Oryctolagus cuniculus: one gene and its partner. The protein of the gene in region 2 interacts with the protein of the main gene of each other region in a pairwise test. Links are inferred from orthologs where the notes say so. Each region holds a gene or a part of one and is shown on either strand. Other genes may lie near its edges.

Region 1 (3,582 bases), on a different chromosome or scaffold from region 2:
CCTTCACCTGGGGCTTGGGAAAGCCACCCCTTCCAGGAAGAGGGAGAACATCTCTCTTCGGAGAAGGTCCTCTGTGACCACCCCTCCAAGACCCCACCTTCCGCTTCCTCCTGGGGCCGGTCCCAGAGCTTCGGAGCACCCACCAGGCCACTGGAAAGGAAAGTGGGCCAGGTTGTCTTCCCGGTTGTCTTCAGTGAGAAATGGTCTTCCATACTCCACACGCAGCCCGGTGGCCAGCAGGAACCTGTAGAACGCAACCTGGAGGCTGCCCAGCTGCTCCCTCTGGGGGGCGCGGGCGGGGAAGCCAGGTCTGGGAAGTGGGGTGTTCCCCGTGGTGGCTGCGACACGCAGCATTCCTTTCACTTGAGGCGGCCAGGCCCAAGAAGCTCCGGCCCCCGCCTGGGGAATATGACATAACCAGAGGCGGGGACGCATCGCAAAAGCCAGAGTGGTGTCCACACATCCCTTCCACAGAGGAAAGCCCACCCCATCCCGGGTGCAAGAAACGCCATGTCTACCCCGGCTCCATGGCTCCCCTCATCGGTCGCCGGCCCCACAAACACCCCCAAGTCAGTGATCTGATAGGATGTGTTTATATTTACATGGTACATTTTAAAGCAATGGCTACATTGGTCATACATATTAGAAACCATAAAAAAAAGTTAAGAACTAAAATGTACATCATACACTTGTATATATATTTTTTTACACAGAGGTAAAAAGGCTTATTATAAAAAATCAATACAACGGGGTTTTAATATACAGGGAAAGAATGGATCATGTCTCAGGCACTTTTAATCTGTTAATGTGAGCAAACAGCTTGGGTGGGGGAGGGGAGACGGTCAGGGAAGCTTCCCAACAGAAAACCTTTTGGTTAATGTTTTGTTACCACCGATACAAAAATAAAATCTGAGTACTTTTCTCAAATGACTGACGTCATGATGGCAAAGCTGACTTGGGAAAGCACTACACGTTGTTCAGCTGCAGGGTGGTGCTGGGAGAGACGTATTTACATAAATGTCCCCATGGCCGTCTTTGTGCCCTTAACCGCTGCCTTCACAAACCAAAAAGGATTTGCGGAGTAAGACTCGCAGGTAGGAAGGGTCGAGGGGCAAAGGAGGGTGGGCAGGACGACAGAGGTGACAAACAAAAGGTGGCTCTGAAACGTGTGTTCCTGTTGAAATAAATAGGGGCGCTTGAACGGAAGTCTAAGGACACATACATTAGTGTTGTGCTTTGTAGAGAGGAGACCTTAGAGAGAGACCCTGAGGGAGACCTCAGGCGGGAAGAAGGTGCCGTCTCGACAGCGTCGTCGGAGCGGGAGGCTGGAGGGTGTCTCGCTGTTCTCCAGGCAGGGAAGCCGTTAGCTCTCTTTCCATCGATCCACATGGATGGTGAACCGGGTCCCACTGGTCACTCCAACAAATGGCAAGAGCTGCCAACCAACTCAGAAGCACACTGGGTGTGTACGCAGAAGAAACGGGTAGGGCTCCCAGGCGGGCTGAACGCCCTGCCGGGGAGGTTCAGCATGGCTAGCACTTTCCTTGAAGACTATGTCCTGTGTGCAAGAGAGAAAGGACAGGGGAAAGGAGGCGAGGAGGACAGGGTCCTGCCAGTGGCTGGCGATTCCCACAGAAGGACTGTGGCAGGAAGAACAGCCAGTGTCGACAGGCCTGCTGTCTGTCCCCCGTGGTCTCCACGAGGTTCTGATTGTACTATGCTAGGTACAGGTAACCACTCTTCACTTTTCCTTTTTCTTCAATAAGAAGATTTGGCTTTTCCTCCCAATATATTAGAAAAATACTCTGTTCCAGCTAAGTAAGAAGCCTCCTACGTGGCAAGGTGACAGGTGGAACTGGCCGGCTGGCCTAACCACCTGTGCACGAAAAGTGGCAAGTCTGGGTTTGGAGTTGCAGGAGAAAGACACTTAGGCATTGGAAGGGTTTTTACATATGGCCTTGTTTTTTCCCAAGTATAAATGAAGAATTTGGTGACATGAAGTTGAGTCCAAAATGAAAATGAAAACATAAACCCACAGGCAAAAATGCGACCCCACCACTCTTGGAAGTGATGATATTTAAAACCCCCCACCCTGTTACTATAAATAGCCACCAGGGGGAGGGAAAGAAACTCCTATAGCTTTATCCCCCACAACCGTAGTGTAGTGCCACTTGCTCCTACAGCACTGGTTTGTGTTTGAATAGACTATCTGGCTCGCAAAACCATGAGCAAGATTTCTTACTCTAATTTTTACTCTTATTCTAATATTGCTAATTTTTTTTAGCAAGTGGTGGCAACACAACTGTTAAAAAAAGTCAATTTTTAGGATAACCAGGGAGGCTCAAAGAAACCTGAAATATCCCCTTTCTAGCCCTGGTCTGAGGGTGTGACGCAGCTGAAGGAGTTTTCCTGATTCTCACGAGTTAATCTGAAGTTAAGGCTCAATTCTCATTTTATGGTGAATGTTTTGCATCAGTGAACAATTTCGACAGGTTATTATTATTATTTTTGCACGAGGAGGGGTGGGGGGAGGCAGGGACAGAAAATGATGATGGACTTAGAGAAACTGCAGCTTTCATGGGAAATTTGGCTTTAGAAGAGTTAAAGCGATATTTTATGGTACAAGTTTGTTAACTAGCTCACCTCCTATACATAATAACTGACTGCAGGTTAAAATACTTCCGGTAGGGTCGCATCATCCGGGGATCAGGGTTCCGCAGGAACCTGCTGCCGGACCGAGAGAAAGACCGGGTCTGGGAAAACCCAGCCCCAAATCCGCAGCAGTTCCCACTGCAGACGCCCTTGAACTGGAAGAGGTGGGGAGGACAGACAGGAAATGGCCGCGTGGATAAAACAGCTTGATTACAGGTTGTTAATAATACACCAGAGTCCAGGCCCAAGTTCCTTTCCTCAGAACACTGTGTGTGAGTGGGTGTGTGCGGCTGCCGCAGGGCGGTGGCGGAGGGAGCTGAGAGCCCCCCGGGCAGGTTCCCGGGGCTGGAATGGTGCCTCAGGGTCCCGGGGCAGGAGGAGAGGAGCGCGTGAGAGACGCCGAGTCAGGCGGCCGCTTTGTGCTTGCCCCCACAGCACCTGCACAGCACTCCGCAGTGGTAGCAGGCCCGAAGGGGCAGGTAACAGCACATACAGGGGGCCAGGAAAGACAAGGCAATAAGAGCCATCCACCGGAGGCAAAACTTCTCGTCGCTAGTGTCGCACGAGCAGGGGTCTGTGTAGTCCCCCTCGGGGTCCGACATACAGTGATACAGCATGCTGTCCGCACACCACATACAGCTCACCCGGCGGATGCAAGTTCTCACCGAGTCGGGAGCGTCCTGGCAGTGGCCCCGCCGGTTCTCCTCGTGGTTGAACATGTCCCTGCAGTACACGCACCGGGAGCGCTCGCCGTCCTCCTTCCGCCACCGGGACTTGCCCCGCGACGGCTGTGTCTTGATCACGCCGCCCCCGCGGCCTTTGGGGTCCTCGCCGAGGCCGAAGTCTGAGGAGTCCACGTAGGGGTAGTTGTAGTCGTGCTTGGGGACCTCGCCCTTGGCGAAGCGCACGTACGAGTCCACGTCCTCCGAG
Region 2 (3,810 bases):
CCAGGAAAGCAGGTGGCTGCAACCCAACTGCTCCTCCCACAGTGCCCCTCAGGCTGTGGGTCTTTACAGGGTCACCCAGACGCCCTGGCACCCCCAGTGCGGCCCAGGGCTTGGCAAACTCAGGATGCAGGAGGTGGTTCCAACGAGAGCAGACTCGCTCACACATTGTCCCCTCCCTCCGCACAGCCCTCCTAGTCTCAGCTGTGGGACCCCACACACCCCCACCCCCAAGCCGCAGCTGGGCCCACCTGGCCCCTTCCCACTGGCCATGGCCTTTGCCTCTGCTGGGCTTTTTTCCTGCCCTATATTTCTCCAGTTTCTTCAAAGTCTCACGTACCTACGCCCAGCACACCCTCCTCCTAAGAGTAGGCTTCCAGTGGATTTGGGGACTGCAAGGTCCCTTGTGTGCCTGGCAGCAGGGGGAGGAGCGGTGGGGGGCAGCTTGCAGGGCGGCAGTGGGGAGGGGCATGTGAATGGCAATGTAGCCGTGGGTGAGGGGTCTGCGCAAGATGGAGGCTCCTGGAAAGGCAGGAAGACGGCAGGGGTCTTGTTGAAGGGGGCCACACGCGTGCTGAGGCTGGGCCCCAGAAGGAGCCGGGCCTGACGGCTGAGGGGTGGGACAGGAGATGGGGGGCAGAGGCGATCCCAGCCGGATGGCTTCCCACCAGGTCCTTGATGCCGTCGTCCCCGTCATGAATAAGGCCCACGGCGGCGAGAAGACTGTGTTCCGGGCCAGGTTCAGCTCCATCACAGACACAGACATCTGTAACGCCATGGCCCGCCTGGGCGAGCCGGACCACAACGAGGCGCTGTCGGTGGACGCCCGCCAGGAGCTGGACCTGCGCATCGGCTGTGCTTTCACCAGGTGCGCTGGGTGCCTGCCCTGCGCCTCGGCATTTTCACTGTGCCGGCCGCTGCTGGATAGGCGGCGTGGGCCCACTGGCACGCGGGTCCTGAGGGGGTGTGGCAGGGCTACCCATTAGCAGGGCTCCCTGGCCCACTGGGACCCAGCTTCGTGTTCCTGTTGGCTTTCCCAGCCGTGCACGCGTGGCTCCTCCCCAGGGCTCCTCCCTGCCTCTTGCTGCCACCTCCGGTTGCCCTGCGCTCACCACCCCAGCCCCGGGGGCACTCACGGTGGGGTCTCAGGCAAATCCTTAACCAAATGGCTTCTCTCTCGCACCCCACCCTCACCCAGGTTCCAGACCAAGTACTTCCAGGGGAAATACGGCGATTTGGACAGCTCTCTCATCTCCTTTGGGCCGTGCCAGACTCCTACGCTGGGCTTCTGTGTGGAGAGGCATGACAAAATCCAGTCCTTCAAGCCGGAGGCCTATTGGGTGCTGCAGGCCAAGGTGCCTCCTCTGCTCTGTGTGTGTGTGTGTGTGTGTGTGTGTGTGTGTGTGTGTCTGGGTTTGGGGGGGGTGGACTCTGAAAGCCTTGTGTCATCACCATCATCCTCCTCCTGCAGGCCTCAGGGGTAAGGGTGCCACTGTGGGCCTGTGGTGCCCCCGGCTAGGCTGAGCCTGGGGACGCTGAATTTGGATGAGTGGGGACAAGGCTGGCTCTGGCAATCGAGGGTAAAATCACATCTGATCACTGGACCAAGGCCCTGAGCTTTTAAACTTTTTGGAAATTCTAGAAAGCCAGGTGTAGCAGTTCAGACAGTCCTGGGAACGCTGCGTCCCATATCCATATCCGAGTGGCTGGTGCAGGTCCCAGCTCTCTCCCAGTTCCAACATCCTGCTGATGCCCACCCTGGAAGGCAGTGGTGATGGCTGAAGCACCTGTGTCCCCGCCACCCCCTTGAGAGACTGGCTTCAGCTCCCAGCTCCCGGCTGTGAAGGCACTTGAGGAGCGAAATCGGCGGGTGGGACATCTCATCTCTGTCTCTCTGCCTTTCAAATAAACAAAAATAATTTTTTTAGGAAGTCCTAGGGCGCTTTCCTCAAATAAAACCCTCCACAGACGCGTGCTGTAGGATTTATAACATGACACTGGAGCTGCTGTGACTGACAGGGACCCTGGGTGTGCGGCAGAGGCTCAGGTGCTACTAAGGATGTGATACCGTCAGCCTTGCCACCCCACCCACCCTGAGCGAGACCAGGGCTCAGGCCGGGATCAGCACACCTGAGCAGGTGCAGACGCCAGCGCCAGGGCTGCGTGGCTCCCAGACAAGGCCCAGCCCAGGCGCTGGGCTCGCCGCCCGCTTCTCCTCATGTGTTCACCTCCTGTCCTCCGTCCTGCAGGTGAACGTCGACAAAGACAGGTCGCTGCTTCTGGACTGGGACCGAGTGAGAGTGTTCGACCGGGAGATCGCACAGATGTTCTTAAACATGACAAAGCAGGAGAAGGAAGCCCAGGTATGGCCCCGCCCCACCCACACCTGTCCCCCTGGCTCATGCATCCACTCCTAAGATAGTTCTCCCAACGCGGCAGCTGTGGGGCACCCATGTCCACACCTGGGACCTGCCAGGCCCTTCCCACGTGACCCAGTGGGCAGATGTCACAGGTGTCCCTTCTCTGTGATCTCGGGGGCTAGTAGCTGCAGAGGGACCTCTGTGATGAGCTTGGCCAGGGCCACACGGCAAGTTGGGGACTTGTCTGGGATCCATCCGCCTGGCACCTCCATGGTGTTGTATTTCCTGCTCAGAGTGTGTGTGACTCAATCTCAGGAAGAGGGTGGGGTGACGGGCACAGGGCATGCTCTGCAGATGCTCCGTGGCCCTGAAAGCTGCCAGAGCCATCAAGGTGTGGCCGGGCCACCTTCAGCCACCCTGCCCTTCCTCGCATGCCAGCTGGCCCACCCATGCAGCCCTCTCAGGCTCCAGAACTTCTGAAGGCGTTCCCATGGGTCGCATTCCTGCAGAGGCCCCGGCTCCGCCTCCAGATCACCCCGCGTAACCCTGGGCTCCACTGCTGCATATCCACAGGCAGCCTCAGCATTAGCACCCACGTTTGTGGGCCTGGAATCCGGCGTGGCCGGGGATTGGCCGAGGCCCAGGCCCTGGGCAGAGTCGCTGGGACTGTTTCTGCCTTGTCTTCTGATGAGTGCCTTCCAGAGGTGGAAGGGGGAGCTCACCAGCCAGCACAGCCCACAGATGGATCCCAGTCGGTCTTGCGTGGCGTTGCTGCAAGTTTCAAGAGAGTTGTCCACACTGAACAATTGTGTGATGTCACGTGAAAGTCCTGGCTTCCTGCCAGCCATGCCTGCAGCCCCTTCTTCCTGCCTCTTGCTCACTCCTCCGGGTTTTCTCTTCCCTAGACAATTATCTGGAAAAGAGGGCTTGTTGTGTGTCCCTTGCCGGTCCCAAACGAGCACTGAACCCGGTCTCCAGACTGCAGGGAAGAGGGGGTTTGAGAAGCAGAGAGACAAAGGAAAGCAGGCCCCTTGCCCCGTGCTCGGATTGTCTCTCTTCAGGCTCCTCCCACCTCCGCATCACTGCCTACGTCTCATCCTGCAGGTGGAGGCCACAAGCAGGAAGGAGAAGGCCAAGCAGAGGCCACTGGCCCTGAACACCGTGGAGATGTTGCGTGTGGCCAGCTCTTCTCTGGGTATGTAGGGCGTTTCTCTAGAGGCCCCAAAGACTGCTTGGGATGCACTGAGATGATTCCGTTCAGCCCCAGGGGTGCAGGCGGGGCTGACCCCCACCCCTGGGCTCAGCACCTATCAGGCAGTGATGCCGGGGCCCGGAGGGCAGCTGAGCCTCAGACAGGGGCCCCCCAGCCAGCCGCTCAGAGGCCTACCTTATGTGGAGCCTGAGCGCGCAGCCTGTGGGCAGCCCTCCAGGAGGGTGCTGAGCCTCCTGTCTC

The links.
Region 1: the proteins of TOP3B (region 2) and SPRED2 interact in binary tests that used the Homo sapiens proteins (3 or more experiments, as listed by UniProt). The link is inferred for Oryctolagus cuniculus from reciprocal best matches to the Homo sapiens genes TOP3B and SPRED2.

The regions. Positions count from the first base shown.
Region 1 is NC_091433.1:137,419,388-137,422,969, reverse strand, and holds the end of SPRED2 (sprouty-related, EVH1 domain-containing protein 2), read right to left. Parts: coding exon 3,057-3,582; 3' UTR 578-3,056; downstream 1-577. UniProt on the Homo sapiens protein: Negatively regulates Ras signaling pathways and downstream activation of MAP kinases. Recruits and translocates NF1 to the cell membrane, thereby enabling NF1-dependent hydrolysis of active GTP-bound Ras to inactive GDP-bound Ras.
Region 2 is NC_091452.1:28,916,064-28,919,873, forward strand, and holds part of TOP3B (DNA topoisomerase 3-beta-1), read left to right. Parts: intron 1-668; coding exon 669-865; intron 866-1,195; coding exon 1,196-1,352; intron 1,353-2,246; coding exon 2,247-2,360; intron 2,361-3,461; coding exon 3,462-3,552; intron 3,553-3,810. UniProt on the Homo sapiens protein: Releases the supercoiling and torsional tension of DNA introduced during the DNA replication and transcription by transiently cleaving and rejoining one strand of the DNA duplex.